7 linked regions of the Rattus norvegicus genome follow. The main gene of each other region encodes a partner of the protein of the gene in region 4 in a complex. Links are inferred from orthologs where the notes say so. Each region holds a gene or a part of one and is shown on either strand. Other genes may lie near its edges.

What was found.
Region 1: Tmem216 (region 4) and Ahi1 share a complex: the UniProt entries of both Homo sapiens proteins name them as parts of the tectonic-like complex. The link is inferred for Rattus norvegicus from reciprocal best matches to the Homo sapiens genes TMEM216 and AHI1.
Region 2: Tmem216 (region 4) and Cc2d2a share a complex: the UniProt entries of both Homo sapiens proteins name them as parts of the tectonic-like complex. The link is inferred for Rattus norvegicus from reciprocal best matches to the Homo sapiens genes TMEM216 and CC2D2A.
Region 3: Tmem216 (region 4) and Tmem67 share a complex: the UniProt entries of both Homo sapiens proteins name them as parts of the tectonic-like complex. The link is inferred for Rattus norvegicus from reciprocal best matches to the Homo sapiens genes TMEM216 and TMEM67.
Region 5: Tmem216 (region 4) and Tmem17 share a complex: the UniProt entries of both Homo sapiens proteins name them as parts of the tectonic-like complex. The link is inferred for Rattus norvegicus from reciprocal best matches to the Homo sapiens genes TMEM216 and TMEM17.
Region 6: Tmem216 (region 4) and Tmem107 share a complex: the UniProt entries of both Homo sapiens proteins name them as parts of the tectonic-like complex. The link is inferred for Rattus norvegicus from reciprocal best matches to the Homo sapiens genes TMEM216 and TMEM107.
Region 7: Tmem216 (region 4) and Tmem231 share a complex: the UniProt entries of both Homo sapiens proteins name them as parts of the tectonic-like complex. The link is inferred for Rattus norvegicus from reciprocal best matches to the Homo sapiens genes TMEM216 and TMEM231.

What each region holds. Positions count from the first base shown.
Region 1 is NC_086019.1:17,580,654-17,584,830, reverse strand, and holds the start of Ahi1 (jouberin), read right to left. Parts: upstream 2,801-4,177; 5' UTR 2,701-2,800; intron 2,341-2,700; exon of another isoform or gene 2,283-2,340; intron 1-2,282. UniProt on the Homo sapiens protein: Involved in vesicle trafficking and required for ciliogenesis, formation of primary non-motile cilium, and recruitment of RAB8A to the basal body of primary cilium.
Region 2 is NC_086032.1:71,645,532-71,649,691, reverse strand, and holds the start of Cc2d2a (coiled-coil and C2 domain containing 2A), read left to right. Parts: upstream 1-1,360; 5' UTR 1,361-1,524; intron 1,525-2,588; exon of another isoform or gene 2,589-2,607; intron 2,608-4,160. UniProt on the Homo sapiens protein: Component of the tectonic-like complex, a complex localized at the transition zone of primary cilia and acting as a barrier that prevents diffusion of transmembrane proteins between the cilia and plasma membranes.
Region 3 is NC_086023.1:30,338,167-30,341,666, reverse strand, and holds part of Tmem67 (meckelin precursor), read left to right. Parts: intron 1-649; coding exon 650-730; intron 731-1,202; coding exon 1,203-1,319; intron 1,320-3,500. UniProt on the Homo sapiens protein: Required for ciliary structure and function. Part of the tectonic-like complex which is required for tissue-specific ciliogenesis and may regulate ciliary membrane composition.
Region 4 is NC_086019.1:216,623,720-216,627,986, reverse strand, and holds the start of Tmem216 (transmembrane protein 216), read left to right. Parts: upstream 1-1,467; 5' UTR 1,468-1,483; coding exon 1,484-1,496; exon of another isoform or gene 1,497-1,510; intron 1,511-2,051; coding exon 2,052-2,153; intron 2,154-2,553; coding exon 2,554-2,646; intron 2,647-4,267. UniProt on the Homo sapiens protein: Part of the tectonic-like complex which is required for tissue-specific ciliogenesis and may regulate ciliary membrane composition.
Region 5 is NC_086032.1:100,718,233-100,722,471, forward strand, and holds the start of Tmem17 (transmembrane protein 17), read left to right. Parts: upstream 1-1,439; 5' UTR 1,440-1,847; coding exon 1,848-1,947; intron 1,948-3,344; exon of another isoform or gene 3,345-3,419; intron 3,420-4,239. UniProt on the Homo sapiens protein: Transmembrane component of the tectonic-like complex, a complex localized at the transition zone of primary cilia and acting as a barrier that prevents diffusion of transmembrane proteins between the cilia and plasma membranes.
Region 6 is NC_086028.1:54,269,696-54,273,995, forward strand, and holds Tmem107 (transmembrane protein 107), read left to right. Parts: upstream 1-1,500; 5' UTR 1,501-1,631; coding exon 1,632-1,718; intron 1,719-1,895; coding exon 1,896-1,963; intron 1,964-2,021; coding exon of another isoform or gene 2,022-2,045; coding exon 2,046-2,146; coding exon of another isoform or gene 2,147-2,263; intron 2,264-2,979; coding exon 2,980-3,076; coding exon of another isoform or gene 3,077-3,271; coding exon 3,272-3,341; 3' UTR 3,342-3,825; downstream 3,826-4,300. UniProt on the Homo sapiens protein: Plays a role in cilia formation and embryonic patterning. Requires for normal Sonic hedgehog (Shh) signaling in the neural tube and acts in combination with GLI2 and GLI3 to pattern ventral and intermediate neuronal cell types.
Region 7 is NC_086037.1:56,794,173-56,796,515, reverse strand, and holds part of Tmem231 (transmembrane protein 231), read left to right. Parts: intron 1-481; coding exon 482-563; intron 564-1,731; coding exon 1,732-1,837; intron 1,838-2,155; coding exon 2,156-2,333; 3' UTR 2,334-2,343. UniProt on the Homo sapiens protein: Transmembrane component of the tectonic-like complex, a complex localized at the transition zone of primary cilia and acting as a barrier that prevents diffusion of transmembrane proteins between the cilia and plasma membranes.

The sequences.
Region 1 (4,177 bases), about 200 Mb from region 4:
TTCTATAAGGCAAAGGACACTGTCATTAGGACAAAATGGCAACCAACAGATTGGGAAAAGGTCTTTACCAATCCTACATCCAATAGAGGACTAATATCTAATATATACAAAGAACTCAAGAAGTTAGACTCCAGAGAACCAAATAATTCTATTTAAAAATGGGGTACAGAGCTAAACAAAGAATTCTCAGCTGAGGAATATTGAATGGCAAGGAAGCACCTAAAGAAATGCACAAAAAAAAATGTTCAGTGAGGTTTTTTGGGGGGCAGGTGCTGAGGTCAGATGCCTCGGAAAATTGAGGAAAGCAAAGACCTTCTACTCACAGCCCTGCGGAAGGATACCAAATCTGTCAAGATAAAAAAGAACAAGGAGAATTCGAAATTCAATTCGCTGCAGTAGTACCTTCACTCCCTGGTTATCACAAACAAGGAGAAGGCAGAGAAGCTGAAGCAGTCTCTACCCCATGTATTTGGCAGTGAAGGAGCTGAAACGAACCAGACCTCTGCATGTGACTATTAAAAAGTAAAGAAATGTTCAACATCCTTAGTCATCAGGGAAATGCAAATCAAAACAACCCTGAGATTCCACCTCACACCAGTCAGAATGGCTAAGATCAAAAACTCAGGTGACAGCAGATGCTGGCGAGGAGGTGAAAGAGGATCGTTCCTCCATTGTTGGGACTGCTACAGCCATTGTAATAGGATTCCTATGGGCTGAGCCCCATGTGCTGTTTCCCTGCTGATTTTAACATGTATCTTTGTGAGGAAGCCCAATGCAAGTATTGTGAAATACCTCTAGTAAGCCTTTACCAAGCCTGAAGCTGGGAACCTGAACCGATGCGCAGACGCAGATGTGTGTACGTGCGCGCAAGCCTGCGCGCGTGCCCGTGTGCGTGCTCGCGGGCGTGCCCGCGGGCAGCCCGTGATCCAGTGCACAAACACACACTTGTGCGTTCTTGCGTGCTGGAGTGCTGAAGAGCTCACATAATTGTGCGGGTGAACATACGACACACAGACACACACATACACACATGTGAATGTGCACGCGCACCCCTCACATCCCCTCCCCCACCTACATGCTCTCGCGTTCTCGCGCTTGGATTGGATGCTGGGTGTGATTGCGTGTGTGTGTGTGTGTGTGTGTGTGTGTGTGTGTGTGTGTGTGTGTGTGCCCTCCACACACAGGCACGTCCCCTCCTCCTCTCCACATAAGCACACATTCTCATGTCCTTGAAATGTTTGTTGCTTGTGCCCATGTACACCACACACACATATTGTTGAAGGGCTGATTTCGTGACTCTCAGTTGAAACAAAGGTTCTAGTACTGTTATTTTGATAAATGGCTTTGGATGAAGTATTAACTTCATTAGGCCCTGGATTTTTTAATGCGTGGGTGGCATCAGTAAGCAGCACTTACATATTGATAGGAGGGCAAGATAAATGAAAAAATAATAATGCACATCACAGGTGCTCAGTAAAATGACTTTATGTCCATTTAACAAATAGATAAGAAATAAAATATTAAATGTATAGTTAATGATGTAATATTTGAAATTTTGAGGTATAACTGAGTAAACAGTAATATTTAATGATAACATCACAACGAAAGAATCATTTTAATGTTAATGCATACTACAGAAAACACAGTAATTAGTAACTTATATCTGATTAATGACATCACCATAATTTATATTGTATAATTTTATAATGTGTATTTAGATTATATTTAATAAAACATCCCTAATTTTGTAGATGTCATTTTACAAAACAATTTTTTAAAAAATTAGCATGCACAGTATTAGACATCACTATATTCATCAAAAGTCTTTCCATCAAAAACATGGGAGGTTCTTAGAGAGACTGCGCAGAAAAATTAACTGGATTACGTTTCCTCCCCCCTTCTGAAAAACATGGAGTATGTGCTTACACATCAATGCAAAAAAAAAAGAAAAGAAGTGGGCACACTTAGACAAGGATTCTGTAGCAAATTTTCATAACAAAAGAAAAAGAACAAAAAGCCATGTTTGTGTAATTCAATCAATAAATCTGTCATAGTCCCATAAATAAATAATATTGTAAATATTGCTAAAAATTCTTTTTGCATTTGAATTTGCTGCAAATATCCTTTTAAATATTCCCTTTTCTTCTCCCGAGAGCGCAAGTAATTGGTTACGCAACAGGTGAAATACTTGCTGGCATCTTTTTGCTTTAACGAAACAAAACAAAATCACAGAGGAAACGTTTCTACGACGTTTACACAGTTACAATAAAGGCAGAATTTACCATTTAGTAGATTCCCGGATAGCCTCCGTTTCGGGGGGCTTTAGGCATTGGGATGAGCCTACAATTGAAACGTAATCAATTACTGTACTTAGATGTAATGAAGACAGCCTGTCACTGCGCACCTGACTGTCAATCTACAAGGAAACACGCAGCAGCTCGAGGGGCATTTAAGCCCCTGAACCCCGATGGGAAGGCGAAGGCTGTGTCTGTCGGTCAGAGCACTGTGCAAGGCAGCCGGGACAAGCAAAAGAGAGGCCACTCGCGGGCATCCCCCGCCTCCAGCAGCCCGCTTGCGAGCATCCAAAAGCCTCCGGGAGTCCCTTTGCGCATCCCCGGGTCTTCGACAGTCTCATCGCCGTCCCCCCCAGGGACAGGGAAGGCCTCGGCCCCCACTACAGTGCGCCTGCCGGATACTCACGGAAAGGAGAGACAGCCGGACGACGCGAAGCGGCTCCCTGCGCCCAGGCAAGGGCTAGGGAAGCAGCAGCTCAACCCGCTCGACCGCTGGCCACGCACGCTGTCCAGTCAGCCCAGTGTCGCAGTGCGGGAGGCGCGCCGCCCGTGACGTCAGGCCCGCCTCTGCCGCTGTTACCTAGGTAACTGAGTCGCCGGGCAGAAGATGCCAGCCTGACCACGGCCACGCCCCCTACCCAGCCTCCGGAGCGCGTTTCCGGGGTCCGGCGGGCGCGCGCACCCGGCCGGAGGCTGAGTTCCGCCCTCAGCGCCGGAAGCGAGTCCCGAGTGCACGTCTCCCGCTAGTGAAACCTGTCGGCTCTCGCCGCGGGCAAAGCGCGGTCACTCAGAGCTTGAAGGAGAGTGTGTGTGTGTGTGTGGGGGGGGGGGGGACATAGGTGGGAGGTGACGCGTCCGGCGTAGATACGGGAACGAGTGGATGGATGGATGGATGGATGGATGGATGGATGGATGGATGGATGGATGGATGGATGGATGGGCGAGTGAGCGAATGAGGCAGCACAGCCGAGAAAGACTCGTCACCCCACAAAATGAGACGCGCCTTTAAATGTGAATGGGGATCCCTGCTGCAGACAAATCCTCAGGCGCCCGAGTTTACAGTGTGGAAAAGGGATTACGCCACATTTACTTTCCAACGCCCCCTCACTTCCGCTTCAGGCGCCATCTTGGGCTTGTGAGTCACCCAGAGTGGAAAAATACGAGGTGCATCATTTCCCTCAGAATCAGACGCCATTTTCGGCTGCTGCCCTCCCACACAACCTGTGGCTCCTTTGTATGGCGACAGTATTGCGTGATTGTCCGGAGGCCAGCTTTTCCGTTCTGACTGGTATCAGACCTAACAAAACACATCTCGTCAGGGTCTCAAAATGCAATGAGGAGACCACGGGAAATGTCACCAATATAAAGCCTGCATGTTGAGCTGCTGAGTTTGTCATTCAAAAAAACCCTCAAAATCCCCTCCTCTAAACCTATCTTGATTTAAGCTACCTCCATCCCTGCAGGGTTTTACCAAACCTATCTTTAATGTCCCTAGTGCAAAGCCTATCCATTACGGTTACCTAAGGCAACCTGCCAGTCTTTCTTACGCGGGAACTGGCCTCACTACCTGTGTCCTGACTCCAGTTTTGACTTCGAATTTTCTTTCCCAACAGTGCCAGACTAACCTTATTAATGTGAAGCTGGTAACGCTACTGGTACCCTCTTTTGAAAATTACTTCAAACGAGAACAATCTCATCACGTTGCCATGGATACGGATGCTCCCTCTCCCTGGGGTTACTCTCTCATTACCTTCTTTTATTCAGTTTTACACATTTTTTTTGAATTACGTACATCATGAAATAAGCAACATCGAATTGTATGTTGCACATAACTTTATGCAATATTGAATTATGTATGCAATGCCAATTTACACCCTTTTCTG
Region 2 (4,160 bases), on a different chromosome or scaffold from region 4:
GAATGAATATAATTTGTTTCTTAAGCTGGGGAAATGGCTCAATCAATAAAATGCTTGCCCAGAACAAATACGGAGTTCAGGTCCCCAGCACCCACATAAAAGCCAAGTGTCTACAGATATCTATAATCCTAGCACTGGGGAGGCCAAGACAGGCCTGTCAATGAAACTCATTGGCCAACAGTCTCCGAAAACAGCATTCCCCAAACATCAGGCTCCAAAAGAGACCCTTTACTGGGATTTTTTTCCCCTGTAAGGAAGGCTGTGACAGTGAGTATGCTGATGGGTTTAGAATTAAATAATTTGAATTATTTCAGAATATTCTGGATTATAGAGTTGCCCCCTAACCACCCGACTCCAGAGTGACGTAGAGCAGGGGGACATTACATGGTAATAAAGCAGTAGTTGGAAATGCTAGCTTGGGGTCAGTTAGTATGTATCAAAGAGAATTTACACATTTCTGAGGAGCCATTAGCTAGGAATTAGCTAGCTTCAGAGATGCATATAATGAATGTCAGTGCTTTATGACACAGAAAATAGAGGCTAGGAGGTAGTTCCATTGGTAAAGGGCTTATCACGCAATCGTGAGGACCTGGTTTTGAAGGTGGCTGAAGCTCAGCATGGTGGTCCATGTTTGTTCTGTCAGCACCAGGGAGGCTAAGACAAGCAGGAATCTGGAGCTAGGCAGGCAGCCTAGCCTAATCACCAAATGCCAGCTTCCAGTGAGAGACCTTATCTAAGAAACAAAATGGCAGGCTTCTGAGGAACAGCACGTGAGGTTAGGAGGCCATGGTCAGTGGAGTTCCTTGATCTGTGGCTGTCCTTGGTCCGCAGAGGCTCTCGGTCTGCTCGTTACTTTTCTCTCTCCTCGGCCTTTTCTCCTATTTTCTTGCCTTTTTTGAGCCATCATGTTTGTATCCCTGCTGAGTCATGTGTAGTAAAGAATTGGAGAATAAACAGAGCATAGGTTTGTGCGGTCCAGCTTCTGTGCACAGCCAGCAAACATGGAGCTCTGATGCCCGGCCACAGAGTCTTTGCTGGTGATGATTAAACATCTCTTCCACATAACATGGCCCCTCCTGATTCTAAATCACTACTCATGAACACCTTCTGTCCTTTGCCCAACATGCCGTGCAACCCAGAGACACGAGGCAGGGTACTATGCTTCCGAGCCTGAGTCCTCTCTGCTCAACTGCCCAGTTGCTTTCCCTTTGTCTCTTCTCAGCACGTTATTTTTCTCTGCTTGCCAAGCAAGCTCATATTTCAAGACTGAAAAGTAAACTGTCACTTTAAAAGGAAAAAAAAGCAGCCGCCTAGTGACCTTCCCTGGGAACTGGTTGCTAAGCTGGTGTTTTTTTTTTTCCCTGAGACATGGCTGCAGCTTCTCAGGGAACAACCTCCCTTACCCCAGCCCACCCCTTCGCTCATTTCTAAAAGATTCTCTAGCTTGACACAACTGGTCTCTCATCTCGTCCCTCCATCCCAGAGAGTGGAATCTGCAAACTTCGTTTTGTAGAGTGGATTAAGGTAAATCGGTTTTTTAAAAGAAACAGGGCTGCAGAGTGTACTGCTTTCACCTCCTTTCCTTCCGGCTTGGAAAGCAGCCCCTCCCTGTGCCATGAGAGTAGACCGAACGCTTTAACATTAGGGACTCTCAGCTCAGCTCGCTTGCAGTTTTACTCTCTGAATGCAAAGTGGGGGGTGGGGCACTGCAGAGACAGCTTTGGTTTCAGCTGCGGTTTGGTCTCTGGCTTGCAGAAGTGCAAACCGATTGGTTCACAGAGAACCTCGCTGGCCAGTGTGCTGCCAACCGCTAGCTCCATGTTGCTTTTTGGCCCTTCAGTTTAAAATGCTCCAAGGAAGAGGAGGGCGGGCTGGAGGGAGTGCTTGGTGCTGCAAACTTCACTTTTCTTGGTATTGGACAAAGAGCTAGGAACCACAGGCCACCAAGCTCCCAGAAAAGTCTACTAGCCATCAGCTGAACTGATTGTTTTCTTTTTTGCAAATGGGTGCTAAGAAAAGCTAATAAAGTCTAATGAGAAATACATGTCTGCTATTGCAAACGTTTCTACAAATAAATGTAACGACAGTATGTTATATGTAGAGGGGGGACTGTATATGGATAGAGGGAAAATGTGTATATATATATAAATAGTTGACCTAGAGTTCACTTACAGAGTTTTTTATTGAGCATCAATAATACGGCAGACAATGAACTCAGGTTTACAGTGTACAAAAACGATGCAGACCAGGTCCAATGCTGAGAAGCATTGGGGAAGCAGATGTATAAACAGATAAGGAGTGCACATGAGATTAGCACCAAGAGGGATTTGTAAAAAGGTCTAAAGAGCTCTACGCACAGCAGGACTCCTGCCACAGCCCCCCTGAGCAACTGAGCAATCCCACTGAGCAGAGCCTGCCCTCAACAAGTGAAAGGTGTCCCCTCCATCTGATTAAATGACCACACACAGCTGTGTCACTCACCTTGAACTCTAGAAGCCGGGGCTAAAATAACTTGCCGTTACATAATTAATCACAGCTCCTGAGAGTTCCCAGCTTTGAGTGGGCCCTCCCACTGGAAAGGAAAAGCCTCCTCTCTGAAGAGAAAAAGTGAGTATGGTAGAGGGGAGGAGGTTCCAGCAACACTTTAAACAGACAAGGAAAGGCCTTGTCCTGGGCATGGCTGGAGGAAGGGGAGAAGAGACTTGCTTAGGGCTGTGAGGGGTGGGAATAAAAACTAAAGAGAGTAAGGGTGCACAACCCCCTAAGGTGTTTTTTATGATTCTCTTCCTCTCTGAACCGATGTTTCCCCTCTTGATCCCTTCCCCCCAACTGTGACCTCTTATGACCGTTCTTGTTGGAAAAAAGATACTCCAAAGAAACATTTGTGCCTCTCCTTCTGCTATCAGACTATTAAGACAATTAACTCTAAAAATTGTATTTTCTCAGTACCAAGTGCTGGGAGAAGGAAAAGATTGGCTCCAAGTACCAACGTGGAGAATGACTACTCTCCAAAAAAGAGTTCTGACAGCTTGTCAGTGACCTTGCATAAGATACTGGGACAGAGACAATGATGTGTCAGTGATGGAAGGACCACACCTTGACCAAAACTGCTTAGTTATATATCCCTCCTGGTACCTTTTATTCAGACCTAAATTTCACATCAGGACCCAGGAAGACAGACTTTGACATCACTGGACACCTATGTTCCACTTCCCAAAGTCACCATATTATCTCTGACTTGTCCATTATTTTTCTCTTTTGTTGCCCTACTGTGGCCGAGCCTATCTTGTTAGAGTTGCCAACGGTTCTGACCCTAACCCTGGCAACATCTATAATAATAAACCCTACCAGTACAGTGAGCCTGGTCTGTGACAGTCACTTTATTGCAATATTTTCAGTACAGAGCCCATAAGAAACCATCGTCACCTGAGGTAGGAAGTATGATTATGAGTTTACAGAATCGGCTGTGTTATTTCAAGATCACACAGCTGGCAAGATGGGAATTTGAACCCAGGACCATGTTTTTTTTTTTTTCAAACGCCTCACTCTTTAAAGCCATAATTTCTTTGATAATTAATACACCATCCTTAGGAGCAGCATCAATTAAGTGCTTTATATACTACAGCCTTTTTCTCTCAGTTCTTCTCTGTATCTGCTGGGTCATCCCTGGGTTCTTGGATGTGACTATGACAGCTGACTTTAGAGATAGGTCCGTGTGGTCAGATAGCAGTGTCGGTACTTTCCGTTAAAAATGTGTTGTTTTTCTGTCCAATGTAAAACAGATTATTGGCCTTGTGTCGCCTGTGTAATGAGGACACTGCTATAGTGTTTGTGGCTTTCCATTGTAAGTATTTCCACACTAAGGATAGTTTAGAAGAGTGATGGTAAACGTGCTTTAGCAAGACTAAAGTGGGACCAGGGGGAACTTTGGGGCCCCGAAGCTCAGAGGGCAGACTGAGCTTGAGATTTAAAGACTGTGACCTCACATAACTTTGGAAATCTTGGTTTGCTTGGGTCGAAGTTGGCATGCGTCCTACTGAGACCTGCTATGCGTGGGTGAGGAGAACTCATGTGTGGAGGGAACGCAAAGCTCCAGTTCTACACGCCCAGGGCTCCTATTCTGACACTGTCACAGAGTGTATTAACAAGTGAGCATGGCA
Region 3 (3,500 bases), on a different chromosome or scaffold from region 4:
ACAGTAGCATTCTTAAAACTGCACCTAACATCTAACCTCTTCATAAATGTGCCTAACAGTCAAGCAGGCTTCAGTGTTCACTCCTTTACATTTTAAATCTTAACTGTTAGTATGTTCTGTTCCTTAAGAGTGTGTGTGTGTGTGTGTGTGTGTGTGTGTGTGTGTGTGTGTGTGTGTGTGTGGTGGTGGTGTTTAGTTTAAGGATATACTATAAACAAGGTGCTATGGAGTCTCTAATCCATCCTTAGGTTAAGCATGCCTTATGTAATAGACACTGTTGAATCTGTGTGAAAGCCCTAACACTTACAAGAGCTAACTAGACTATGACAAATGCTATGAAGATACCTGACAGCGATGTGAGGTAGTTAACAAAGAAGAGTAGAGGTTAGGATTGGAGAGTGGTGGGGAGGGCTCCAAATATGGCACTTTTCAAAATGGTCACTCAGGAACTCTTGACATAATTCCAAATCTCACCGCCTTAGGGGATAGACTCAGAACAGATAAATGGGATTTTATCCCATGGGAACCTTTAGAGGCCACTGTGTTCTTGGTTGGAACGTCTGTTTTCTTAAAATAGTCCACTGCGGTTATTAAGGACGGTGGACTTCCCGAAGGAGGCAGCATGCGTGACTATGCCTTGCTGTTTCAGGCTGTTTTCTTTGCTGCCTTTTATGAGAGATTCATAGAAGACAAAATCCGGCAGTTCGTTGACCTGTGCTCCATGAGTAACGTGAGTACTCTCTAAGATCATCTTGCGACTGTCACTTTCCACTTTGGAAAGACAGGTATGTGTAGAGAAGCATTAAAACGTGCCCGTACATCTCACCGAGCAGCTCTACAGCAGTTTAATAAGTTGGCTTGTGATGATCGGATTGCCCATCTAATTTTCAACCAGCTATTAATTTGAAGAATAGATATATTCTTCCACAAGTTAATACTCTTGCCTTACCTTTTTTCTTCTTTATCTGCAGTTCTTAATTATGAATAATTAATTAGTGATTCATTCATCCTGCAGCCCCTGATTTTTTTTCACACATTCTTAGAAAACAGCTCTAGCCTTCTTTCCACTAACTTTATACACAACAAACAACATTGTTTCCTTGCTAATCGTTATTTTGGGTAAAAGGTAGCCATTTTAACAAAAGCTTACTTGGCCGTTATGGAGAAGTCCCTGATCGCCTCTTTTCCCGCGCTCTCTGCAGGTGTCAGTGTTCCTGCTGTCCCACAGATGTTTTGGATATTACATTCACGGCAGGTCAGTCCACGGCCATGCGGACACCAACATGGAGGACATGAACATGAACCTGAGGCGAGAGGCGGTAAGAACGTAGTCCTCACGAATGACTTTGGAAAGTCGCAGGGCTGCCAAGTAATGACCTGAGTACGAATGGAGCCCGGGTTTGTCTGCAGTCTCCATGGATTTCAGAGTAATCAAGTGCGCCAGGAAAGTTCTTCCTCCTCTGCAGGGAGAGAGGGAGGATGTTTGAGTTAGGGGAGCACCAGTGCACTGAGACTAATGGGTGGAAAGACAGACTGCAGTCATCAGTGGTTCTTAAACAAGAGCGTGTCAATGGCAGCTCTAGCGAAGGGTCAGGCTCACGGGATCCGGACACAGAGACTCCTTTCAGTCAGTTAAAAATGAAGCAAGCCGACACTGCACTTCCTGCTGTGCTGGGAAGACCGAGCCTGAAGACAATCAAATCTCTAGTTTAACCACGGTTTTATAGGAAGAACAGAGTCCAGAGGAGCAACCGAGACAGAGCTGATAGAAGTCCTTAGCACATCCAATGTGCAGCGCACCACAGAGCACATGGCTGACTGTCTGTAACAAACCAACGGCGTTAAAGGAGAGGAGGGCTGATGGTGGGGTAGAGGAGATCCTGCTTGAGGGACACTAGGAAACAGGGCAGCGAAGCTTAAGATACCGAGAAAGTCTGACATAATCATTCGCTGTTCTATTAAGTGATTAATTTTGTTAGTTATAAAAATGACAGTGGCGGTTGTTTCATTAAATCCTTATTAGAGAATCACAAGTGAAATGACAGGATCTTAAGTCTACAGTAAAATACCCTAAATAAAAGAAACCTGGGGAGATAAATGAAACAAAGATTGGCTAAAGGTTGATGATACTGAGACCCGAGCAAGGACACCCCAAAAAAGAACAAGGGGTGCTAAGAAGAAAGCCTTAGGGGTTCACTGAGCCCATATCTGCGACTTGGAGAATTGAGGAGCTAAACCCTCCCTTAGCTCTTAGACGCGACTGTGGGTTGAAAGGTTACCTGTAATAATTTAAGCCGTAAGCCCCTGGGAACAAAGATGACAACCGAGGAGTGCCATCAAAAGTGTACCCTTTGGAAAGCCTCAGGACGTGAGTAGTAATTCAGTTTAGTTTACTATCATAGGACATATATGTCAGTCACAATTACAAGATAGCAAATTAGGGTAAAGTGCATATAACTAATATGTCAGCGATATTGATATCTAAAACCATGGTGCTCCGTCTTCAACTTGCCATACTTCTGTGAAGCTAATGGTTAATAAAATGTGAACCGTAAGACAGGTGTTATCAGGAAGGTTTTTACAACTGGAAAATGTTTTGAGTAGTAAACGTCAGGAGATTCTTGGGACTCTCTAGTCTTAGACTGCTTATGTGAATTTTAACCCAAGGAAAATTCTTAGAGTCTAGATTTTTCCACAGGAAGAAAGCATGCAAACGTTTGAGAGGATTGTGTAGGCTGGTTTACCTTTACAATTAAACCTCTGAAGTTAGTGCTTAACTATTTTATATTAAAGATGGGAGTCCACTGTCCTCATGTCAGACAATGAGGACCTTCAGTGGCAATGACTTTGAAGGGGACAAGGAGGAGGATGCAGGCATAAATGTCTTGGAAAATGCCCAGCAGGACTAGGGAGCAACTGAAAGTCAGTGAGAGTCACTACTCCACACATGATCAAGTACTAGCAAGCCAGTGGGTGCTGGGTCCCCAGCCCTCCAGCTCTCCGAGTGTGCCCCGGGGATGGTGAAGCCTGAGCGGAAGGAGACCCTCGCAGTGAAGGAGCTCAAGGCCCAGAGGATTCCTGGCGTTGTCGGCTACCGACCAGATGGAAGCTACGAAGACTGGGGTCATCAGAACCGACTGAGCAGAGATATCAGACTGTGCCTGGCTGATTTTCCTATGCTGCCACTTTTTATATATAAATAAAAGTCATCCTTTCTACCTCCCCAAATGACTATGTATGTATGGAAAATTGCTCGGGATATGATGTTTAACAAAAAAAAAAGTGTAATTCCGAGTGTTGTCATTGTTGTTGTTGTTCTGTGTATGTTTGTGACTTAGAAAAGAGCTGGAAATGATGTGCTTTAATATATCCAGTCCAGATATTGAAATTTATAGCTGATCTTTTCTTGGTTCCTCTTCATAGTTTATGCATTCTTCATTCCCCACAATTTCCTATACTTTGTTAATTTAAATTTTTATTCAAAATAGAGAATCTCATAT
Region 4 (4,267 bases):
AGACTATATAATCTGTTGACAATGGATAAACTTTTCACTGTAGCATGAGAGCTATCTGTGTACACAATATGTGTAGGCAGGGTGATTTAAGACCCATAATTTAAAAAAAACAAGCAACTGGTCCACCTTCCTTTGCTCTGAGGTTCAGAGCAGGAGGTGTGTAAAGGTAGCACAGTTGGGGTGCAGGAACCAGGGTTCTTTCCATCACCTCATCTTGCCCTGGTTCTTGATAGTGGGGATTAAAATTCCATTTAGGACCTGCCAGAGCGTTGTGACACCCACTTGAAACTCCAGGACTGGACGGGAAGCAGAGGCAGGAGAATTTGAGGCCTGCCTAGCCTACATAGGGAGATCTGTCTAGTCAAACTAAACCAGACCAGAATAAGCCAGTGAAGGAGGCAGGAAAGCAGAGGTGGAGGTGGGGAGTGATAGAAATAGGCTTCTGCTTAAATTATTCTCTCCAGGTGAGGAATTGCTTTAGGTCTTTTTTTTTTTTTTTTTTTTAAATTTGAGTACACTGTAGCTGTCTTCAGACACACCAGAAGAGGGCATCAGATCCCATTACAGATGGTTGGGAGCCACCATGTGGTTGTTGGGAATTGAATTCAGGACCTCTGGAAGAGCAGGCAGTGCTCTTAACCGCTGAGCCATCTCTCCAGCTGCTTTAGGTCTTTGAGAAGCAACAATTACTGCTTTTATTCACTAGGTAGGGAAATAACACTTTCATTACAGGTTAGTTACTCTCTCCAGTTATTTGTTGTCTGACTGCCATACTCTAAGGGCTGACTGCAGAGTCAACCCATGTCTTTTCAGAAGTCTTACTCTTTTACTCTGCGGCCTGCAACAACACGCTCTTGCTTCGAATTGCGGCCAGGATTCTTAACTCAAGCTTGTTGGAAACATCTCTCAATTTCTACCTGGGCATAAACTGTCTCCCTTCAACACCTTTGCACTTTTTGGGTGGCAGGAGAGCCACGTTATAGCACCGCTGTTTACCACATGTCCTAGAAAGGTCATTCTACCTCCAGTGGTTTTGGTGTTTCCACAGGATTTTGTTGCGTCAATGGGCCCTAGGTAAGCCTTGTGCACAGTGGCATGCCGTGCTGCTTTTTTTTTTTTTTCTAAACTAACACATGGCAGTAGAAAGAGAATGGTGGGCCTGGGGCCGCTCCTCCAAGTATTCGGCCGCACCCGGCCAATGAAGCCCAACACCATGACGCCAGGGGTGGAGAGTTCAGTTCGAGAGCTGTTTGGGTCTCCTGGGCTCTTTCTGCCTTCGTATATAACCTTATCCTCTCCCTAGACCACAGTCCGCTGTTGACCGCGGGCGTTGCTCCGTGCAAGGGCGCGGCCGGTGGGGTAACCATAGAGTAGCACTCGCAGGCAGAGCGGCCAGAAAACCCGGGCGCCTCTGTGCCGCGCTTCCGGCAGCGCTGCATTGCCCCGGGCGCTGCAGCGTACGCAGTTTCCATGGGGACTGAACATGGCGCCGCGAGGTGAGACTCTGGAGGTGTGTGTCTCTGCCCCTTATATCCCACTGGTACCTGCCAGGCCCCTCTCCAGAGCTCTACCTAATCCTCCATTTCTAAAAGTTGGGGTCTTACTCTTCACTTGTCCGAATTGGGCTTGGGTTGCTCAGACCACCCCGAGTGGCTGCATGGATACTCGGATACTGTACTCTTAAAAATTCCAGGCTGGCCCTGCTCTGGGATGGCCCAGTTACGAATCCTCCGGCCTTGGACAGAATTAAGCAAATTTCTGTGCTCCAATGTCCTCTTCAGTAGTGACAGGGTTGAATATCTGAGGTGCCTCTCGGCTGTGATTATAGCTTAATTGTCAGAGAAGTCGACCTTAAAGTGATTCCTGGGAAAGGAGGTTGAAGGCAGTTCCCTTCACATCAACACTCTTAGCAACCAGAAGTTTCTCCCTCATTCACAATAACCTTGTGTTTTCTACAGATTACACAGAATCATTACACAGAACGGGGCAGAGCTCCAGCTGCCCTGTCCATTCTTTGTGTTGCTTTTTTTTTTTTTTTTTTTTTTTCCCAGATAAAAGATTGTCCTCAACCCCTCTGGAAATCCTGTTCTTTCTGAATGGGTGGTACTATGCTACCTATTTCCTGCTGGAGCTCCTTATTTTCCTGTACAAAGGTAAGGCTGGGCCTAACTGGCCTGCTTCAGCAGCCCTTTTCTACTTTAGCCTACTCCAAGAACCTTCTATCTTCTGGCCCCTGCAGCATCTCCACTGCAAGGCAGAAGTCTCTCCAACTAGTGGCTTTGGAATGATCAAGTAGGAAGTCTTTCAGCAAGTCTTGAACTTGAGAAATGTGGGCTTCCCCATCCCTCTTTACTGAAATATTCAGATCTGTGTACCGTTATAATTCAGTCATTTGGGAGTCAGGACTTCTAGACTTAAAGCCTGTGGCTGTAACAATCTATACCTTGCTAACTGATTCATGAGAAGTTAAGACTAGTATCCTTGTCCCTGGATGTGTGGCAGCCTTGTGGGGATGTGGGGGCTGTTTACATACTCTGGCTTTTACACTTGTAGGTCTCCTGCTGCCATACCCAACAGCCAACCTAGTCCTAGATGTGGTGATGCTGCTCCTTTATCTTGGCATTGAAGTAATACGATTGTTTTTTGGTGAGTGTTGTTCAGAAAATATTTCCATTGCTTATGAGACATGCTGGAGCCTGAAACTTGATAACCTAGGCTCACTATCAGAGATTGGGTCTGTGTAATGTATACCATTGATTGCTTCCTCCCTAAGGCTTCAAGCTGCTGCTTTGTATTTTAGGTCAAGATTTACCTGTGTGTTTCTAAGTGAGGCTAGAACTGGCAGTAGCATTTGATCTTAGCTCATTCCTTTCCAGTTGCCTGACTACTACAAGAGTGCCTGCTTCTTCTCCTTGCTTTGTTTGAGAGAGTAAAGCAGTACATTCCTAAAGAACTCTAAGGTTCCCTCCACTTCTCTAAACAAGGATTCCTCTAGAAGCTTTTAAACACCAGAGACACAGAGCAAAACTGCTGATTACTTAGAACATATCATCCCAGTGTTAAGATACAAACCCAAGGGAGAAAAATGGTAAGGGACACTAAGAGTCAGTTCACATATAGAAGACCAAAAACCTTGCTAAGGTGAGCATGGTGGCACATGCCTTTAATCCCAGTACCCACTGACAGAGGCAAGAGGATGGCTATGTGTTCCTAGACATAGTGAGTTCCAGACCAGACAGGGATGTATAAGGAGATCCTAGCTCAAAACAAACAAACAAACAAACAAACAAACAAACAAAAAAACCTGCCAATGTGATCAAACTTAGTAAAGAAAAGCAACAAAAACAAGGGAAAAAAAAGCAAAGAAAAACATGGTAACATTTTTTTCTTTTATATATTGGCAATAGTAAGAAAGATTTATACAGTACAGAATCCATATTTGGCTTTTAGAATACATATTTTTTAATTAAAACATTGTTTTATGTCTATGGATACTTTGCCTGTATGTATGCCTGTATAGTACGTGTATGTCTGGTACCCACAGAGGTCAGAAGAAGGTCTTGGGCTAGAGATGGCTCAGAGGTTTAAAAGGACTTTTAAACCTCCTGCTTTTGCAGGAGGACCCCAGTTTAGTTCCCAGCATTCACATTAGATAACTTACAACTGTCTAATTCCAATTCCAGAGGATCCAATGTTGTCTTCTGGGCTTTGTGGGCACATACAAGCACAAGTAAGAATTAAAAGTTATTTAGAGAGAGAGAGAGAGAGAGAGAGAGAGATAGAGAGAGAGAGAGAGAGAGAGAGAGAGAGAGAGAGAGAGAGAGAGGCGTCAGATCCTCTGGAACTGAAGTTACAGAGTGCTGAGCTGCCATTGAGTAAACCTGGTCCTCAGGAAATCAGCAAGTGCTCTTGACCACCCAGTGCTCCTTCTCTGTAGCCCTAAAGAACAGACATTTTTAATGCACTTAAATTATTTTCCATATGAATTGAAGTTTTAACGTACATATACATTTACATACACACATGTATATTATAGCTATACATATTTTACTTTGTTTATAAATTATGTGTATACATGTGGATATAAACATACATGTGTATACACACAGATACGCAGTTTGGTTTTGGTGTTTTGAAGCAAGGAGACCAGGATGAACTTGAATTCTCAATTCTGACCTTAGCCTCGTGCATGCTGGGATTATAAATGTGTACTTCTATGCCTGGCTCATATGTTGCTTTTTTTGTCTTTTTTCTTTTTTGAAACAGG
Region 5 (4,239 bases), on a different chromosome or scaffold from region 4:
TTCCATTTCTTCCTCTTGACATTCATGTATGTGAATTTTCCTTTTGACTGTGTGACCTAAAGCTTCTTGGGAAAAACACGCCTTTATTAAAGATTCCGAGCTTCTGTAATTGTTGGTTAGAATGTTACAGATCAAAGGACGAAATTATCTTAGGCTCTCTTCAGTCCTCTTGATATCCATTTACCACTTGCCTCTGTATCTGATCATTCCATTCAGAAAACACCTTTGGAATCTGTTAGGTTAGCCGATTGTGGCTTTCACCAATCCACCAACCCAAAGCTATTATACCCTCATACAGCATTTGAGACCTATGGCAAAGGTGTCCCTGCCTTGCTGTGACCTGCCTACCTGGTGTCCTCACTAATGGATTTAGTAGACGCATTGATTTATGGCTATCTTGCACCCTCTAGTAATACAAATTCATATTGCCACTTTGATGGCGGAACAGATTACCTGGATAACCTGAATCTATCTTTCCCGCTTTGGGGACTCATAGTTAGCTCAGAATAAATCCTTTCTCACTCCCTTTGGGAACGAGGTTTCTGATGGAGTTACAGACGTGAGCCACCATGTGGGTAAAGGGAAATGAACCGGGGTCCTCTGCAAGAGCAGTGAGTGTTGGTAACCGCTGAGACATCTGCAGACCCACCGCCCTTCACCAGAAAGATGAAAAGGTTAGGGTGGAATATAAGCCCACACTCATGAAATAACAGGGACGTTCAAATATAGCTGGAGGTGGGAGAGTCTGATGAAACCTCTTTGGGAATGTGTTCGTAGATCCCAATAAAATCGGTCTTACACACCACTCCACTCAGCACTTCTCCGGCACACTCTCAACATAAACGTGAATGTTACACTTGACAAAAAGGTGTATGTTATACTCAACATAAACATATGCTTACCAACAAGCATTTTCACCAACAGTGGCACCTGTCATAACTGCTCCTACGTAGAAACTACACAGAAACTTATCAACATAGACAAACTTGGTGTGATCATAAAATAAAAAGAAGATTCATACAAATGTTGACATCAAAGTCAGATTTTCTTTTTAAACTTCAGTGTGCGATTAGTGTACTATAAAGTTGCTTCATAAGCAACTGAGAAAACGTAGCTCCTGGAGATGCTGATACGGTTGACTGACTTGGGTGCTGGTACATCCGATTGTGCTTTTCTTTATATGGCTATTACGGTTTGTTCTGGGTTTTAAGGATTTTGCAATGTAGTCCAGGCTAGCCTGATCTCCTGTCTCTGCCTGAGTGCTAAAATGATACATCTTAAGGGAGAGCAGGGAACGGCTGATGTTTTTAGTTTTTAAGTCACCCATATTCCAGAAACAACTGCTCTCAATACTTTTGAGTTATTTTCCTGTCTTCTGAAGCAGGTTTGCTTGTCTCATCCACCCTGGCCTTACTCCAGATTTTATGTACCGATAGAAAGGAACCTACTGGGTCAAGCGCATTCTTTAAGATTTATGTTTCTTTTCCATTTCCCTCTAGAAATGGCGCACCAATTTTACGGAAAAACTGCCTTGGTGTGAGAGCTCCTTGTGGCTCAGCTCAGGACCAAATGGCTTATTACTTGTGATCATCTTAAGACGCTGCAGCTTTAAAGCAAGACGGAGGAACCCTCCATTTTCAGCAGCACTAGGCCACATTCGGCAGCGGGCCGGTGGCTCCCGCTCGCCTCTCCGCGGAGAAGGCTCTGGAGGACTCTGTTCCGCGCCGGGCAGCCCAGGAACCAGGTCCCCAGCGGCCAGCACAGCCCTGTTGCCAAGGGAACCGCCACGCGCCGCTGAGCTGGCCCACTAGCGGGAACGTGAGGGGATAGGCCCGGGCAGGCCAGACATGGAGCTGCCGGACCCTGTTCGTCAGCGCTTGAGCAACCTCAGCCTCACCATGTTCGGCGACTCCAGCCGTACCGGGCCAGAGTCCAGTGAGGCCGCGGGTGAGTGGCAAGGGGCCCCACGCGGAGGTGTGGTTCGCGGGCGGGCGGCCGCATAGGCCGTGCCCGGGTCAAAGATGGCGGCCACGGCTTCAGCCAGGGTACTGTCCTGGGTTAGGAGACCGCGACCCTGTGGCGGACCCGGGAGACCACGAGCTTCAGTAGCCACAGCTACTGCACCCGGTGGCGCTGTCGCCGAGCGGATTGGGAGGCAGAGTGCATAGCAGGAACGCCTTCTCCCACAAGCCGGTCCCCGCTACGTGAAAGCAGTCCGCTCGCAGGCCAGGGTGGGGAAGAGGCTTCCCGCTCCCACCCTGCACAAAACCGGGCTGTGTCCAAACTCCTAGCAGAGCAAGCACGTTCCTCACCAGCCACTGGCAGCGGCCAAGCTAACATGGCCTTCCTCTGCCTGTTCCTTTCTCCCTGTATAAAAAACTCTCTCCCTCAATCTAATAACGAAATACCACCGAGTTGACCCCAGTTTCTGCCTCCTCAATCAGGACGACAGCGTACATGATTTTCACCTTTGAACTCAAGAAAGTGGAAATCCGTCTTGATTTGGGCTTTTTTTATTTTTATTTTTTAAAGGGGGTATTGGAAAACAAAGCCACTTCTCATCATTGCATTTTGTCACCTTGGTCATTTGTGTAATTTAGGTTATGTAGGGGAAAACCTGAAAAAAATTAGGATTTTATGTTTCTGATTTAAAGTGCGAGCCTTACCGTGCAGAGCCTCAACAACCTAGATAGTAGCAAGGCTGACTATGCATTTACTCCCAGCACTCAGTGGGCAGAGGCCAGCCTAGTCTTCAGATCAAGTTCCAGGACAGCCAGGGCTATACAAAGAAACCCTGCCTTGGGGGAAAAAAAGTCATTCCTATATTTGGGATAATTTAGGATAGTTTAAGAAATCAAAGCAAGAAAAACAGACCACAATAGTCAGCCTTGCTCTTAAAACTTAGTTTCCTTCTAGAGACCATGATTTTTTTTTCATTAATTTGTTTTATTTTATGTGCATTGGCTTTTATGCTTGTGTGCCTGCATGTACACCTGTGTTACAGACAATTGTGAACTGCCATGTGGTTGCTGAGAATTGAACACAGGTCCTCTGGTTAGAGCAGTCAGTGCTCTTAACAACTGAGCCATCTCTCCAGTCCCCTACCCCATGATTGTTTTAAAAGTATTAACCGTCAATTAAAAAAAACTATGCAGAGAAAAACAAAAATCAGTTTCAGTGGAAATTCTCATTATCTTCCTAAATTCTTACATTTAGAACAACCAATTTAAAATAAGAATGTAGTTAAATTATAATGTATTTTAGGGCTCAATTTTTATAATCAAATTCTTGTTGAAGGACCTTTTGTTTTCTTTTTTTTTCTCTCTCTCTCTCTTTTTTCTTTTTTTCGGAGCTGGGGACCGAACCCAGGGCCTTGTGCTTCCTAGGCAAACGCTCTACCACTGAGCTAAATCCCCGGACCTTTTCTTTTATACAAAAGCAAAAGATGTTGGGTAACCAGTCTAGTAAGTAGAATGTGTGAGTCACAAATGGCCACCTGTATGGCAGCATGCTTTTGAAAATCAGTTCTTTTTGCTTCTACATGGTTGGTATTTGTACGATTCTGAACAGGACATGTTAAGTGAAATCTGTGCTTACACTGAGACAGCATTGTCTCCGTATACAAGGAAGGGCACTGTCTGTGGAGTGCCCACTAAGTGTGATAGGCATAATGGAAAGAGTGGAGTTCCTCACAACAGCCTGTGAGGAGTCATCCCTCCAGAGATGATTAGGGGAATGCCCAGAAAGATGTAATAATGTATCCCAACTCTGGCTCCTAGAGTCTCTGTCTTCTGTCTTACTTAGTCTTTCTAGTGCTGTGAAGATACAACGTAACCAAGGAAAACATTTAATGGGAGCCGGCTTACAGATTCAGAGGTTTAGTCCATTATCATCATGTTAGGAAGCATGGCAGACGTGCTGGAGGAGTAGTTGAGAATTCTACATCCAGATTGGCAGGCAACAGGAAGAGAGAGTGACAGTGGACCTGGCTTGAGCGTCTGAAACCTCAACGCCCAACTCCAGTGACACTTCCTCCTACAAGGCCATGCCTCCTAATAGTGCTGCTCCCTGTATATACGTGTGTGTGTGTGTGTGTGTGTGTGTGTGTGTGTGTGTGCAAGCAGCACTCTTGACCACTGAACCATCTCTCCAGCCCTAACCAGCACTTCTTATATGCAGTTCAGAGAGGAAAATACCTAGAGGGGCAAGATTTCTTTCGGAGTGGGGGAACATAATCAA
Region 6 (4,300 bases), on a different chromosome or scaffold from region 4:
GTGTGTCTGAGGACAGCTACAGTGTATTCATATATAATAAATAAAAAATTAAAAAAATCTACGTTGTTGTTATTTAAGTTACAAATACTATACTGTTTGTCAAACATTCCACCAGTCTTTTATAATGAAAGTGTGAGTGTGTGTGTGGGTGGGGGGTGTCTTTTGTCTGGTTTGGGATCTCATGTTAGGTTAGGTTTATCCCCCACTCAGTGGGAAGAACTCCAGCCTGTCTTTCATGACCTTTAAGTAAAAAACGTTGACTCTGCATTCTAAATGTTTTTACTCACTGGTTTAGGTAAGGGGACCCCATGTATTACTTTAGGGAGACAGAAACATTTCCTCTCTCTCTCCCCCTCCCCCCAATTCCTTGAAACGAAAATTTAGGAATTATCTATTTCAAAACTTTCCTTTGATATTATTCTAGTGTCACCCTTTAAAGTTTTTAAATTTACAGCATACATTACCTTGCAGGGTTTTGTTGGGGTTTTGTGTGTGTGTGTGTGTGTGTGTGTGTGTGTATTTGTTTGTTTTGTTTTGTTTGTTTGTTTTGTTATCAGTCTCTCTGCCTAGAATATAAACTGGAGGGACTTTATCGATGTATTCTGAGTCAAGCACAGTGCCTGGCATCTGGGAGACATCAGATATTTGTTGAATGAATGAAATCCCTCTGGGTCTTGTCTTTTAGGCTGGTTTAGAGGCACACACACACACACACACACACACACACACACACACACACACACAGAGAAATGAGAGAAGAGGGGGTGCAAAAGGAGGAGGTTCATTGTCAATGGGACTTGATTGTGAACTGGGATGGTAGTGAGAACTTTCCGATCGCAGGCATTTCATCCGAAGCCCCAAATCAGTCACATCACCCTAAGAAGAGGTTCTGGGTCTGTAACTGAGCAATGTCCGCGGCCTGGCAACTCAAAGCGAGAGTGAAATCGGTGGTGAATCAGCCTGGTTTAAGCCTCCCAGGGGCGCACAAGCTGTTCTAGTCCCCCACTCCATTCTTCACCTTTTCAGATCCCTTGGGATCCCGAGGAGGCTGTCACCTCATCCACCCACATCCTATTCTACCCATTCCAAGGTTGCTCATTTCTGCACTCGGCAAATCTTTCATGAAACCGAGACAAGTTATTTAGGGAGAAATTAGAGTCGTTCATCGGCAGAGGTTTGGTCTTGGGTGGGAGAGGGAGCCCTCTGACAACCAGGGGCTGTGGGGGGGGGGCGGGGAGGGCTTGGCGAGACTGTGGGGCAAAGCTCGGTGCTGAAGCTCTACTCCTTCGTTCCCTCATCTCCTGGCGCCCAAGGCAGTGAGTGGGAAGCACAGGAAAAGGGAGGATTTGGTGGTTACGGGTGCATCCTCCCGGATTCATCCCACAAGCACCAGGAGGTGAGCATCGGCTCGGGTACCTGGCCTATAGACATCTGCAGAGGGCGCAGCACTATCGCGAGACTTCCGGAGGCAGCTGCATGGCGCCTGAGGACGCAGTTACCATGGCAACCGGGCGGCGCCTGAGCACGCGGGAAGGAGGCTTAAGTAGAGAGGTCTGGCCTGCTTGCTCTGGGAGACTTGATGAGTGACCCTCCTCAGACTTCTACGGCCTCCGCTTTGGGCCCCCGAGGCCATGGGTCGGATCTCCGGGCTCGTGCCCTCTCGATTCCTGACGCTCTTGGCTCATCTGGTGATTGTCATCACTTTGTTCTGGTCCCGGGTAAGACGTGGACAGGGCGCGCGCGCGTGTCTTCTTGTCCCTCCCATTCTCACCTTAGAGTGGACCCAGCTCAGCTCAGTCCACTCCCACAGACCCACACTGGGTCCGTTGCTCCCGTCCCCCGCAACCCCATCCCTCTTTTGACATTTCTTTCTTTCTTTCTGCCCGGCTCACCAGGAAAGCAACATCCAGGCTTGCCTGCCTCTCAAGTTCACCCCGGAGGAATATGAGAAGCAGGACAACCAGTGAGCTCTTGGGGCGGGGTGAGAGTGCCAGGGTCTTCTACGCAATCCGGAAACCCAGGTCCATCACCCTTTCTCTCTGCAGACTGGTAGCAGCGCTCTGCCTCACCCTGGGCCTCTTTGCAGTGGAGCTGGCTGGCTTCCTCTCAGGAGTCTCCATGTTTAATAGCACCCAGAGCCTCCTCTGTATCCTTTCTGCCTGGCCAGCGTCCCCATGCGACATCATCACCACTCACTCTTTCCACTTCTGTAGGCCTTTTGGGCACAAGTCTCTGCCCTACGTGGCAAAGCGAATCTCTCTAGGTGAGAGGTTTTAGACAGTTTTGGGGAATTAATAGACTTCAAACCTTAAACCCTGATGTGAGCCAGGTTCTGGCGATCCATGAGTGGGAGTAAAACCACTTTATCCTGTTTGAGGAAGAGATGGATAAACATCTGTAAATCAGTGTGATTAAACAGTATTCTGTAGGAGTGTGCAAAATACAAACCATTGTGGGAACTCAAAAGGGACCAAGAAAATGAGACACATAGGAAGGTTCTCGATACCCGGGTGTGATGTTGCAAACCTTTAATCCTAGCACTAGGGAGGCAGGAGCAGGTGAATCTCTAAGTTCGAAGCCAGCTTGGCCTACATAGTGAGTTCCAAATCAGCCAGGGCTACATAGAGAGACCCTGTTTTTTAAAAAAAAAAAAAAAAAAAAAAAGATAGCCGTTGACTCTGAGTTGTGGACAAGGAGGACCAGAGCACTGGAGAAATTCCCACAGTGTATCAGACCTGTAGGTATTCTTGTGAGGCCTAGGGCATATGTGACATTAACTCCCAAAAGTGTACAGGGAGAGGTCCTATCAAAACAAACTCAGCTCTGGCCTCTTACACATAAGTGTCCACAAATTCAGAAGGCATGGCTGCCAACTCTGGTGTTTGTCTTAAGGGAAGGGAACAAGCTGAGCCCAAGTCCGAGTACTAAAGGGACCCATCACTTACCTATTATTTTCCTTGACTCTGCTGTATTTTTAAGCCATTGCAGCCCACTGTAGCGCGTCTGTGGCCCTATCTTTCTTCATATTCGAGCGATGGGAATGTACCACGTACTGGTACATTTTTGCCTTCTGCAGGTTATTTTGGAATGGAGGGTGGTGGAAAGTCTACCCCAAATCTGAAGGTTTCCCCCACCTAGACCTTTCCTGCACATGTGAAATTGGTAGAGTTTTAAAGAGTCGTACCCATCCGCTAACCCACTCACATATAAGGCTTGGAGGTTTGAGTGTTTGGGTCGGAAGGGGCTCTAAACCCACCCCCTACTTCCACAGCGCTTTTCCAGCTGTCACTGAAACTGCGTTATTCATCGCTGTCTTTGGGCTGAAAAAGAAACCCTTCTGATCACAATCCGATGAAGAGACCAAAGCCGGAAACGTGATGAACTCCCTCCCATTGCTGGAAGAAGAAAGGGAGAGGCTTCAGTTTTCTCTCGCCCTAGTCTTTTGCTCCTCCCAACTGCGTCTAAACAGAAAATGGCAATGTTGGGATAAGATCTCACAAATCTTGGGTTATAATTTTATTAGAGTTTTGTAATAAAATTCATTTTATAATAAGAGCAAGGCTTAGACTATTTGTCAGAAGACCATTGGGTAAATCAAAAGGCTGATGTAAATAAAGGCTTTTTTCTAGCCTTCTGTACGTGAGCTAGTAGCTTATGCTTCTATTTGGATTTTTACGGTACAAAATAGGCGGAAGTGAGTGGGCGGGAATATGTAAATAAGAACCTCACATAGGGCTTCTAATTTGCTGTATGTGAGCGGAGCATTATGGGAGAACTTTGTTTCTCTCTTTCTGCGCCGAATGGAAAAATAAAATATTTCAGGCGACTTGCAAATAGATATTGCTCTTGAGTTGCAATAACTATAAGTCATTGGGTTCGTGCTAAATTGTCATATTCTCACCCTTTCTTTAATATGGAATGTCTTTACTTAATTAGGAATGGGCTCCCTTTGTCCTTTATCGTCAGGAGGTTAATCCTTACCTGTTCCTCCTCTCGGAGGGCAGATAGAAAATGATGATTGGAGCTTGCATGATCTGCTGATTAGCATTTCCGTGTAATCAGGACCTGACAACATCCTGATTGCTCCTATCTGATTCTCTGACGATCATATTTATTTCGCATGTACTGACTGATAGAATTTAGGAATTTTGTCCTGTGCTCCTGAAATTTCTCCTAACACTGGTCAGAGCCATGACTTTAAGGTGCTTTTAGTAATTGTGTATATGACTGACTGATTGCTCAGACCTTATTTCTATGACAACAAGTGCCTTGCTGCTGATTGTTTGCCCAGCTTCTAGAA
Region 7 (2,343 bases), on a different chromosome or scaffold from region 4:
TCTCTCTTTCTCTCTCTCTCTCTCTCTCTCTCTCTCTCTCTCTCTCTCTCTCTCTGTGTGTGTGTGTGTGTGTGTGTGTGTGTGTACTCAAAAATGATTATTACAGAAAGTTTATTCATCCCCAAAGAAAAGATTACTGAACCGGGGCTGGTGAGATGTTCTATTCCCGGCATCCACATAAGGTCACTTACAACCACCTGTAACTCTAACTCCAGACTCCAGGGTGACCCAATGCCTCCGGCCTCTATGGGCACGTGTGCTCACATGTACATGTTACCCCCACCCTCTGACACACTCACATTCGCACACAAGTATGAATAATAAAAATAGAACTCTACAGAAATAATTCTGAACCAGGGCTGGGTCACAAGCACAAGAGCGTGGTCTCTGGGCCAGGGTGGCCTCAGGATTGAGGCTGGGTGGGCTGCTGCGTGGGAAGGAGAGCGAAGTGCTCACAGTGTGTCCTCCTGCCTCGCCCCAGGTATCGGTGATCAATGGGACCAGTCCTTTTGCCCATGACTACGACCTGACTCACATTGTCGCTGCCTATCAGGAAAGGAATGGTGAGTTGCTGGACCCCTGTCCACAGGCTGCCCGGGCTTGCCGGAACTTGTCCTCTGTCCACTGTCCACACCCTTCCCCACAAGCCACCTCTCCCGTAGCCCAGCATATCAGCAATCACTCGCTTTATTTATCCTGTCACTGGCTTGGCTGCTTTGCTCTCATTAGTGTGTATTGGTTTGAGTGAGTTGTCTCTCATAGTACACCTGTAAGAGAAGTCAGGGCCGTTTACTGTCCTCACTTTCCAGACAGCGATGGGTGATGCGTGTCAGGCAGTCCGCAATGGTAGGCTGGTAGAAGGGAGGCACCGGCAGAACTGACTATAGGTAGCGTTCGTCCCTAGAGGAGTGTCCCCAGGCTTGAGTCAGCACACCAGGCTGGTTTGTGGTCTAACATTTTCCCTAAAGGCATCAAAAGTGTTTCTGGCAACACGACATTATGGGTGACAGCCACAAACGTTTCACAAGTGGAGGGCTTTTAATTCCAGTATTTCTTTTTAATTTTATGCAGTACAATAGCAGCAATACAATTCCTAAAACTAAATCTGACAACTGCTGGCCCCAAGATCAACTCTTTCCTCTTTAATTCATTCACTCTTTGTCCATATATAAATAGTTTCATACAACTTTCACTCTTCGGGGCTGAGAGCTCGAGCTCTTGCTTAGCATAGATCGGGTACAATTCCCCCGATTCAGTCACCAGTGCCACATAAAGCTTGGTAGCACACACACACACACACACACACATAGCCCCAGCCCTCAGGAGATGGAGACGAGAGTAATCAGAAATTCAAGCTCATCCTTGGTAATATAGCAAGTTGGAGACCAGTGAGCTACATGAGAAGAGAGAGAGAGAGAGAGAGAGAGAGAGAGAGAGAGAGAGAGAGAGAAACAGAGACAGAGACAGAGACAGAGAGACAGAGAGAGAAGAAAGGAGTCAATGAGATGGTTCAGTGGGTGGATAAGAGCATTTTCCATTAAGCCTGATGACCTGAGTTCTATCCTTGGGGTTCACATGGTGGAGGGAGAGAATTGGTACACCTGCACACACACACACACACACACACAAGCATGCAAATAGATCTTAGAAACAGAAAAGACTTTGGGATCTGTACTCAAAGACTACTTATAGCCCTTCGCTTTGAATTAATGACTAATGTTTGCCTTGCAGTTACCACTGTCCTCAGTGACCCCAACCCAATCTGGCTGGTGGGCCGGGCCGCTGAAGCTCCTTTTGTGATCGATGCTGTCATCCGCTATCCCGTGGAAGTCATTTCATATCCTTTCTGTTAGCCGGGTTCCACTAGGAAAGAAGAGCTTCCTTAGTTTAGTTACCCCAAGTAGGAACAGATGTGGGACTCACAAGATAGGAAATTGCCACAGCTCTTTAGCCCCATACAAATGACTGCTGCTCCTACAGCAAAGAAAAATCAATTTCCTGTGCCTCTTTCTTTCTAAACATTTCTGAGTCAGAATTATCCATGTTTATATCTTAATAATCTCTGGAGAGTATTTGAAGTATTCTGTTTCCCATCTGACCTGAGCTTTGGGGTAGCTGTTCCTTACTCGTGGCTGCTGTTCCTTAGCATTTGTACTTATCAGCCAGGGTTCTGGGAGATGATAAAGTTTGCCTGGATCCAGTATGTCAGCATCCTGCTCATCTTCCTCTGGGTGTTTGAAAGAATCAAAATCTTCGTGTTTCAGAACCAAGTAGTGACCTCCATCCCTGTAGCCGTGCCCCAGGGAGAGATAAGGAAAGAGCACTTATCCTGAGAAGCTTCTG